2 linked regions of the Drosophila melanogaster genome follow. The gene in region 2 interacts genetically with the main gene of each other region. Each region holds a gene or a part of one and is shown on either strand. Other genes may lie near its edges.

Region 1 (5,890 bases), on a different chromosome or scaffold from region 2:
AGGCATATATACACCGGAAGTTCTTCCTGCGTTTCGCAAACCATCCCTTCACGCTGGATCACTTCGATGACTACGAGAAACACTACACGGTGATGAACTACCAGACGGAGGCGCAGCTGCATCACGTCAAGTGCGACGACTTCCTGACGCTCTGGCAGGAACAGTATCCGGATAACGATTGGTCGGCTCTGGAGCAGCAGATCTGTAGCATGCTGCTCGAGGTGCTTCAGTGCGCCAGTCAAGCAGATCCACCCTGCGGCCTGGCTCCTTGTGCCCAATCACGAGCTCTTTACGCAGCCGACATCATGCTGCGGTGGAAGGACGATAAGGAGAAGTTGATGGAGCCCCAGTTGCTGGAAATCAACTGGACTCCGGACTGCAAACGCGCATGCGACTACTATCCCGACTTCTTCAACGACATCTTCCGTCTGCTCTTCCTAGACGAAGAAAACGACGATAGCTTCCGGGTACTGACGCCAGACAATTGACATTAACCGAGCAAATAAACCCAGTTATCCCAAAGTTTAATGCCTATTCGTGTATTTCATTTCGTTTAGACTATACAAAACTTAAATAGCTTGCCATTTGTACAATATACAAGTAGGTGTGTATGCTTCTATGCGTGGGTATCTAAGTCCTAAAGGCTTAACTAACTAAGATAGCAAGTCAGTTGGTGGTGTGGCTTATGGTTTTATCATAGCATGGACAAGTTCTAGAGTTATGAATTTAGTGTAAAGTTCAAAGAGTGAGCTTAAAGTTAAGGCGTTTACAATTCTCAATTGCAAATGGCACTTGATGAACAATGAATAATGGTAAATAGTGAAATGACAACTTTACAGGATGATATCCCAAGAACATACATTAGAGTCGATGCTAACTTTAACTTAAGGCAATTTCAAAGGCACCCTTTTCAGGCTAGGCTCACGGTGGAACGGAAACGATAAAGTCAATCCAAACATAAAGTAAATATGTTAAAGTCTTCTATATAACTATAAGCTCCCAAGGGTCTTGTACTTGGATTAGTTTGCTTCAACACGCAGGATCTTGGCTTAGCTTTGAATAATATACCTACGAACTAATAGTGTGAAATGCAGGGTATGTCAATGAATGAATCTTAGACTACCTATGTGGTACAACTAAATTACCGCTTACAGCTAAGGCTCGACTACTACCACTAAACGCAGACCTCGTCGAAGTCCAGGCGTATCTTCTCGTCAGCGGAAGCCAGCTTATGTATAGTCTTTTTGATGCGCAGCGCTGGCAAGCGCACGTCGGGGTTTTGGTGCCAGCACTCCTTCATGAGCTTGGACATGCCAGTCATTAACTAAAAAATGAGAACAACAATGAGATCAAAGATCTAGAGAATGGCAATCGAAAGCGACTTACCGAATCCGAGCTCCAGCGATTGGGAATGGAGGGCCTGTAGTTGTCGATGCAGACCACCTTGCGCATATCCTCGAAGCTGGGATCCATTGGCACCACATCGTAGAAGGGCACCTTGTACTCCTCTGCTATGCCGCAAGAAATGGTGCGGCGACAAACCTCCCAGAGGACAAGTCCAAATGCGTAAATATCTGTCCGGCGTAGTGCTTCGAAGCATTCTAAATCAATGCTACAATAGACAAATTGTTAATGTAAAAATATTCTTTTTTGTACTGCCAATAAGCACACACCTTTCATCAAGAACCTCTGGGGCCATGTAGCGCTTGGTGCCCACTTTGGGGTTGTTGCCCAGGTCCAGTTGTCCTGTGACGTGCGAATGGGTAACGGCCAGTCCAAAATCGGCTATCACGCAGGAGCCGTTCGAGGTGACCAGTATATTCTTTGACTTCAAATCGCGGTGGGCCATAGCTGGCTTGCCTTGCTTGCCGAATATCTCTGTGTGCAAGTGTACCAGCCCATTAGCTATGGACAGGCAAATCCATACCATATCGTTGTGGCTTAGGGCGTTACGGTTTAGGTGATCAAAGAGCGAGCCCAGTGGATAGTAGTGCGTCATCAGCCAAAGTTGGGTGCACGAGTTCCGCGACGTCATGTCAGAGCCGATGAATCCCAGAATATTTTCATGTCGTAGCAATATGGTGCTGAAAAACAAAGAACGATTATTTATGATTCATAGAGCAACAGGTAGGTAGTCATGACTGGACTAGGGCACTTTTCTTCTGGGGAAACAGTTAAAAATTTCTACAGCTACAAATTACAGAGTCACAAATAATCTGTTGCTCACCTATATATCTCTGTCTCCCGCTTCCAGGACTCCTCGTCGCGACTGAAGAATATCTTCACGGCGATGCTTTCGCCATGCCAGTGACCGCGCCAAACCTCGCCGTATTTGCCTCGTCCAATGCACTCGATCAGGGTGACCTGTTTGGCTAGCGTACGCTGCACTAGCAGCGGCAATCCGCTGCCCGAGCCGGAGGTCACCGAGTGCTGCAGATACTCCCTCAGCGTACTGTCCCCGGCGCTGGTGGCGCGGAGCAGCTCATCATTGACCAGATACGCTTCCGGGTCCTGTTTGGTTCGCGAGGCAGCCAGACGCTTGCGATGGCTACGACGAATGAAGAAGATGGTCACGGCGCCCAGCAGAGCGATGACCAGAAAAGGACCCAGAACGGCGACGAGCATCTTGCTTATGCTACTGGTATCCGCGGTTATCACCGTCACATCATTGCTGTCGAAGGGCAGCAGTTCCGGAAAGTCTCCCTCATTGCAGTAATCACCGGCACAGCAGACCACATTCACGAACTTCCCCGTATTGCGTTTACTGGGCCCGTTGATCTTCAAGGAGTTCTGGCTGCAGATCATGGGCAGTTGATCCGGCGAGGTGCTGCAGCCGCGTGACTCCTGCACCTGACCATCGGCATCGCGTGTGCGCGACTTCCAGCACTGTTGAAGTTCGGAAATTAAGTTACATTTAAGTTTTAATCAAGTTTAAGGTGGAGTATTCACCTGAATCGCATTCTGGCAGGTGTGGGTAAACTCATAGGGATCCCGACAGGGCGGCTCGCAGGAGTAGCATTTGTATCTGATAAAAAAAAGAGAGAGTTTAATAAGATTGAAGAAGAATCGGTTACGCAAACGGGCAGCTTTTAATTGTTAACATTTGGGTATAAAAGTATAATATACTATAAAATATTTAAAAAAAATGGGGTTTTTTAAGTAAAATTATGAATATTTTCAAAATTTTAACTAAAAGTTAACCAGTTTATGATGTTTTAGTTCATGAGTCGTGTAGGTTTTACCTTCTCTTCATGCGGCGCTTACTCTTAATGTGTCTCCTAATTAAGGATTAGCAGCATGGCAATTAGGAGGGAAATGAGATTAGCAATACAAAGCCTTTGGGCGGAAGCGGGAGCTACAAGCTATGGGCTCAAGACTTAAGATATAATCACCTGGGATGCGTCTGCACCGAGTTCTGTGGCACGGCCGGTAGCTCCTTGCCATTGAGATGGGCGGATGAGGCGGAGGAGAGCTCCATGTCTAAGTCCGGTATGTCCTCCCGCAGATGATCGCTGATTTCGGCTGAAACATAACAAATGCACATTAAACCATATGCACATAGCATATACATATGTACACACATGGACGGCCCAACCAACACAAACGCCACCAGCACTAACACACACACACACATGCACACAGGCGCCCCAGCAAGTTCTGTATACACACACAGAACGGTGGTGTGCGTGGGTAAATCATTGAGAAAATGCACTTATGCTGCAAACGCCCACGACATCCGTTTATATAATACATTCTGTGGGATCCATCAGGTGCTTCTTTCACCAATCAGCATTCCGAGGGCACTTTTTTCGCCTTGGCCTGGCCAAATACGCAACGCAATTGGCCAGAACCGCAGCATATGAAAACAAACCCAAAACACTCAGTGACTTTTCAAGGCATTATATGTGGCTCTAAAACCCCATAAAATCGAAATTTCTCTTGCGCACTCTCTTCACCAAGCACTTGGTAATTGATTAACACTAATTGATGCCCACCTCTGGCATTATTGTACAGCAGAAACGTCAATAGAAAAACTAAATATATATTGGACTCCATTGCTAGAAATGTTATTTGTCCGAGCCTATCGGAACCTATCGATATACTTCTAGCGGGCAGTGTGACCAGGGCCCACATCTGCACATAACATATTTCACATAAAATACCGGGTCTTCAAATTTCCCAAATCCCCTGCGTAAAAATACCAAAGCACAACACGCACACCAACACGAGCAGCCGGTCAGCGGAAAAGTTTCTAGAACGTCAAACTCGAACTCCCATCAAAGAGTCTTTGGCAAAGGAGCCCATTTAACAGACAATTATTTTATTCAGTGCCGTTGTGTTCACAAAGCATAATTGTGTTCAATTTAGGTAAGTGGAGAAGCAGGAGATCTTCAGTGGAGGAGTTTTCGTGCCATTAAGTTGTTTTCCTGAGTGAAATTAACGGATTTACCTACCCGGTGTCATGGAATATAACAAAACATTTGCTTAGTTAGGGTTTTCATGTCCACTGCGACCGGTTTGTCCAGAAAATCAATGGGTTTCAGCTAGTATCGATCAAACGACAGAGTTTTCCCCCTCCCACAGCGCAAACATGTGTTTTTAGTCACGTAACTGTTATAATTTTCCTCGTTTTCCTTGCAATGGAGAAGATACACACGCCGTAGGGAATCATCTTACTGACCCCCCAATTACCACCCCCGCCCTCCTGCACATATATGTATGTACATAAGTTTGTAATATCAGTTGGCAGACGCAATACAAACATTATCTTTGTATATACATACATATGTGTGTAGAGATGTGGTCGTTTATTGTACAATTAGTTGGGTTGCGCCAGAAATCGCATAATGTGTGTGTGAGCGCAGGGGCTGCGGGGGCAGAATCCCGCTAAACAAAAACAATTGGGGCAAGTGGTTTTTTTCGCGCTTATCAAAAGCCCCTCACTGCGCAGAGGACGCTCTCTCTGTGGGCCGCTCGACTCGCAAAGAGCCTCCAATATTTGCCGGCGTTTCGGGCGTAGCGCTCCCATTCTCATAAAAACGCTCGTCGGGAAAGCATCGCACCAAAACTCGAAAAAAAAAACAGAAAACATTTACGCGTTCTCCTAGAATTTCACAAACTACGCAGTTCGTTTATTTATTTATTGGCCGACAAGTAAAAAAAAAACTCGTGGTCAGTTTGTAGTCATCTACACACATGTGTATCTACTTACATAATGCCCGTAAATCCGGCGGATAGCCGGTGATTTTCGACAGCGACCTTTCTGCGTCATTGATTTAATATTTATTTGCCTATCTGCTGATTAGAATTTGATTAAATGCCAGCTCGGTGTTTTTTTTTGGCTGCGAAATGGTCAGGACCTAGGGCAACCTTGGGACCTGGTACTTACTTGGCTTATCTCAGATTCGATTGGAAAGTTTCCAGAGTTTCGCCAGGTTCCGCAAGATTTAGTCATGCCCTCAAGGTTTATTTGCAAAACTATAAAATAGCCAGGTATACATAGAACTTACATATGTATAGCCGAAACAGAAAAACTAGTAATTTTTCCCAAACGACTTGTCTTGTTGTTATTGCAGTTATACATTCGTAATATAAGATAGCTGATTATCTTACAAGATTGTCCGTACTTACATCTATGTTTATTTGTACTTTCAGAACCTTCCAGAAATAGAAACCCAACGCATTTGCCAAGGAAACGTGGCCCAAAACTGAGCAACCCCTAACAAATAGAAACAAACAAAAAATCAAAACCCGTCGAAGTGATAAGAAAATTTGTATTTGTGTAGTAAAAGTGCCGAGGAGAGAAGAGGAGACCGAAGAGATCCCTCCGTGAGTGAAGTGTGCCTGCGAGAAAGCTATGTCCGCATCTAGATCGCGTAATAAACAATCC
Region 2 (4,889 bases):
AGGTAAATCTCTTCAAGTACTTTTTGCTTAACGTTATTTATGATTTTTCTAAAATCCTTATTCAGGCTTTCCTTGGATAATCTTTAATTACACTTACTTGGGTTGAATGTAATATTACAGATGTGAGATGTTCAAAGCCATAGAAAAGAAAATCCCTTTCATGTGCTTATTTGGTTTTTAATTGTAAATCTTATTTATTGCAGAACGTTTTTTACAACATTTTATCTATAAGATTGACGACTAATCTATGCTATGTATGTATGTACATATGGCTTCAAGTGCTTGTTTATAAATGTCTCACATGTTCCTTTTAGTATCATTTCGATTAATGGTTCATGTAGAAAATAAAAAAAAAAACAATACTTAAGTGAATTTTGTTTAATAATTGCTTTCAATCAAATACATACATACACATTTCTAATTGGTCTTGATCGTTTTTGTGGCAACTGTACATATTGTATGGGTACCAAATTTGTTGTTTCTGTTTGATCCAAGTGTTTTGTGAGACAAAAATTAAGTGTAGATTTCTGCACCGCTTTTCTATGTTACTCAGTAGAAAGAGTAGGGAATATTTGTCTTTTGAAGTGGAAAATCTATTTTCGTCATGAGGAAATCATAATAGTCGTACGCATCCCTAAATCGAAAAATTCCATTTCTGTCATATTTAATTTGGCTTGTAGTAAAAAGGCGCCCCAAAATTAGATCCATAATCATATTATACCATTTAATACCCATAAAAATTTAGGGTAGTAAACATAAATTTTGACTACAGATTTTATATTTTCCGTAAATAACGCGCACTATTTTAATTTATAGCATTTCTAGGATAGTATACATATGTATAAACTCCATTTCCGTCAAAAGATTGATGAAACCAGATGAAGCATTCCTCAAAGCGAATGCATACACTGCATACACATCAAAAATGTTTGGGCGTGGGTATATCCTCCAATTGTTTCCCAACAACTCTTATTGGCACTTTTTCTTGTGGTCTTAATTTCTGGGCCGCAATATTCGCATCTTTGCTAATCCCTTTGTTTGTTTTTAGCTTTCCCGATTTCCCCTGTCCTCCTGCTACATTTTCGCTCCTTTCGCCTGCAGTTCTTATTCGTCCCAAGGATAAATTCATGAAAACAAAAAGTGCTCCGCCAAAAACACCAACTCACACACACACACACACACACACGCACCTACATACCTACCAATAATACCAAGGTAATAGCACCCGCAGAAACACACGCACACTTCGACAGTACCACTGGCGGCTAACTGTACTGCATGGACAAACACACAAAAAAGCGAACAAGAAAGTAAGCCGAAACTTACATACCCTTGCAGTAATAATACAAAACACCTGTATACCGAGCAATACTTCATGATTAAGAACCGATGATTATTTTATCACTTTCAGTTAATTTTCTTATTTTTCCTATGACAGCTATGTACATGATGCAATAGCTATAAAACTGAGACTTTTTTTTATGGAAATGGACAGACAAACGGACAGGTGGACCGTTAATTAGACTCTAAATACTGATCATGATATTCCGATATACCGAATTTAATGTGCCATCTGCAAGGGTATATAACCTGAAATAAGAACAGAGAAAAAGTTAAGTTTCTCTTCTGTTCGCTGTCTTCTAATTTCTGTTCGTGCTTTTGTTCTTCCCTTACTGGTTTGTTTTGTTTTGTTTTGTTCTGCGTTTGTTTGTTTGTTTTTCTTTCTTTCTTAATTTTTGGCAACGTCAATTACACGCGAAACTTCTTGCCTGAGTGCTTAACCCTTGGCAGGGCGCGCAGGTAGTGAGCGCTCTCGTATTAACCCTACAGCGCTCACGCACACACGCGTGAAATATGCAGAATATATGGTTGCAAATTAAATATCATATTGCATATTAGCCACCAATTTGCAACGGGATCAGTGTATTCTGGCTAAACGAATTAAGTTAGTTCAGTGGGGAAAACAGCGATCTCCGTGCGGATGGTTCGTTACTTCAGTTTTTGGGGGTTAATGGCTTTTAAACTGCAGACTGCACTTTACGTACATACGTACATATATACCTAAATATATATGTTTATATATACATATGTAATATGTATGTTTTCTTCATTTCTTTGCCTTTCCCTTATTTTCCTGCCTTCGGAAACGCAAATGATGCAGTTTGTTTGATTCATTTGACATTACAATTGCTGCAGCTGCACGTTGTTGTTCTCGTTTTGTTGTTGCTGCTGCTTCTGGCGATGCTGCATTTTGCTTCAGTTTCAGTTTTTCATGTTTTTCCAAGCACAAACCACGCTGCAGTCGCTGCTGTTGTCGTTGTTGTTGTTGTTATCATTGCTGCTTCTGTTGTTTTGCAGGTAAGTCGAAGATGAGTGTTGAACCGGTTCAACGGGTACACACGACTACCATTGAAAGAAGCCACATACGTACATGAAGACAGACACACACACTCTCACACACGGGCAGCACTTACACTCTCCCTCCCGCTCGCTCGCTCTATCTCTCCCACTCGCACTCTATGCACTTATTTTAACTCTTTATCTCTCCACTCTCTTTACCACGCTTTGTGTTGATCCGCTCTCCGCTCCGTTATTTACTCCACGGCGTGACTTTTCCAAATATAATCACCTTTTGGCTTTAGCTGCTTGTGAGGGGGTTGAAGTGGTGTGTGGGTGGGGGGGGCTTGTTGTTGTTTTCGTTTAAGGGGTATCACTTGCAAGTAACCGAAAAAAAAGTGTGAGTAATGCACTCCGGGACAGCCGCAACAGCCGCGTGTTTGGCGGCGTTCGAAAAAAAAAGCAAACACACACACACTAGCCGCCACTCAACTCAAGTGAACTCCACGCGACGCGAGGCGAGTCGAGACGACTTTTCGTGTTTCGTTAACCGCGACTGTCCATTCAATTGGCGGCAACAACTGACTGCTTCGCGCACTCGAGTACGTACATATGTGTATGTGGGTGGGCGATGCGCTCGACGTTTCACTCTAGCAACAACCTACGCGACCGGCGTTTGCAACAACACTGCGACGCACATCTGTTCGAGAGCAGGCCGCTCGAGCCGCATCGAACCGAGTCGCAGCGAACCGAACCGAACTAAGCCGAGCCGTCATGCAACATGTTCGACTGGAACGTCAGCTGAGGGGTTGCAACAGCAACAAAGCACTGAAACAAAACGTGTGTAACGAATTATAAAATCAAATTTACGGCGATTTTTCACTTAATGAATGTATACAAAAACAAAAAAAATTAAAATCAATAATTTTTTTTCAATAAAAAAAAATAATTTTAGTTATCACCATAATCAAATCAAACAAAACCATGGTACGAAAGTCGTGACAATTTTACCCTTAACGATTCTGATGCCAATGAAATGTGTTTTTTTTTTTTTGTCTTATTGTACAGCTAGGATGTTGAGATTAAGCATACATGTTCTATACATAAACATAGACGCAGAGCCAGTTTGTTGACCCATTTTGCCACGCCCACTCTAACGCTCACAAGCCGCCAAAAACTACCCAAGCAATTTTTAAATAGTTTCTTATTTCATTCCCCAATAATATCTACCTAAGAAAAATGTTAAAATTTCGCGTTCGCATTTCCATTAGCCAAGTAACCGATATACTCGACTATAGATTCTCCCTTCTCAAGAACAGAGCTCAGTACAAAATATATACATATGTATTCAAAAAATCAGTTGAACACAAAATAAGAATTTCAGCTCCATCGCGAACGTTAGAAACTGAATGAATTCATCAGCCAGTTGACAGAAGTTTGATTTTAAGACCTCTGATCGTCGAACAAAATGGAAAGGAGCTGCTGCTTGGTAGTGCAATTCATTTTAAAATTTCAGCGGCTAGCATCATTAATTACGTCACCGGCGAAAAAAGAAGGAAAGTGAAGCGTTCTCTGTGCCCCTGAATAACTGCGAAGAATTAAGTACGTCAGTAAGGGGAGAGCATACACGCGCCCATGTGTGGAGCCAGCCAGATACACTGCGAGAAACGAGTGGCAATTCCAATCCAATACATAAATATGTAAGGTTCCCTTTACATAAAATTAAATAGTAAGGTATCATGGGAAACCAGTACACATTGATAATAGCATAAGAGCAATGGCATTATTACTACATTTCAATGAAAGATACTTTAAATTGCTTAATTTTGGAAGTTTTCGATGTTTGTTATTATGCCTTAATATTAATATAGCTTTATTTCCTATTTATTTATAAGAGATACCAGAAAGTGAAGCTAATTTTTTATTAGACCTGAAGATTTAAGAGGCATACGCAGCGCAAGTTAGTTGTCAAGTAATGTTGGCACCTCCACTTTAACGCCCACAAATCGCTCAAATCTGCCACGCCTACACTTCTTGAAAATGTTTTGAAATGTAAAAGTCGACAACTAATTATGGACACCCTAATTTTAAATTTGGTTAATTTGATTTCTAATTAAAAAAATTTAAACAAGCAAAGTAAATCTTTTACAGAAAAAATACTGGTTTTTTTATTTATTTAAAAAACGCATCTTTTGTTATAGGGAAATAGAAGTGTTGGCGAGCAATCGATTTTTTCGCCAATTGATTGTGTAAGTTTTAAAATAAAAGATGTATATTTTTTTGATTTGAAATGCAGAAACTAAATGAAATGCTGCTCGATCATGATAGGTTACAATTGGTATTGCAGCATTTTGAAATGTACAGTAGACTAAACACAGATGGACGCCAAATTAATTATGACAAATTATGCTATAAACTGGGCACATAAGCACCAAATCAAGCTAGGATCATAAAAATAGAACACACATTTCATGAGAACAAGGTAACCATCTTCTATGTTCGTTTTATTTAATATTCTTTTATATCCTTCCTATCTAGGACTTACATATATT

Evidence for each region. Genes that interact genetically often act in the same process or in processes that back each other up.
Region 1: of kek5 (region 2) and sax, changing one enhances a phenotype caused by changing the other (phenotypic enhancement), as found in Drosophila melanogaster (one study listed by BioGRID).

Annotation. Positions count from the first base shown.
Region 1 is NT_033778.4:7,804,704-7,810,593, reverse strand, and holds sax (saxophone), read right to left. Parts: upstream 4,111-5,890; 5' UTR 4,057-4,110; coding exon 3,996-4,056; exon of another isoform or gene 3,582-3,995; intron 3,523-3,581; coding exon 3,393-3,522; intron 3,279-3,392; coding exon 3,243-3,278; intron 3,026-3,242; coding exon 2,950-3,025; intron 2,887-2,949; coding exon 2,228-2,886; intron 2,085-2,227; coding exon 1,674-2,084; intron 1,613-1,673; coding exon 1,387-1,612; intron 1,325-1,386; coding exon 1,175-1,324; 3' UTR 527-1,174; downstream 1-526. Other genes in the region: TTLL12 (tubulin tyrosine ligase-like 12), read left to right, coding at 1-488; Nop17l (Nop17 like), read left to right, coding at 5,858-5,890.
Region 2 is NC_004354.4:19,351,324-19,356,212, reverse strand, and holds the start of kek5 (kekkon 5), read right to left. Parts: upstream 3,033-4,889; 5' UTR 2,560-3,032; intron 1-2,559.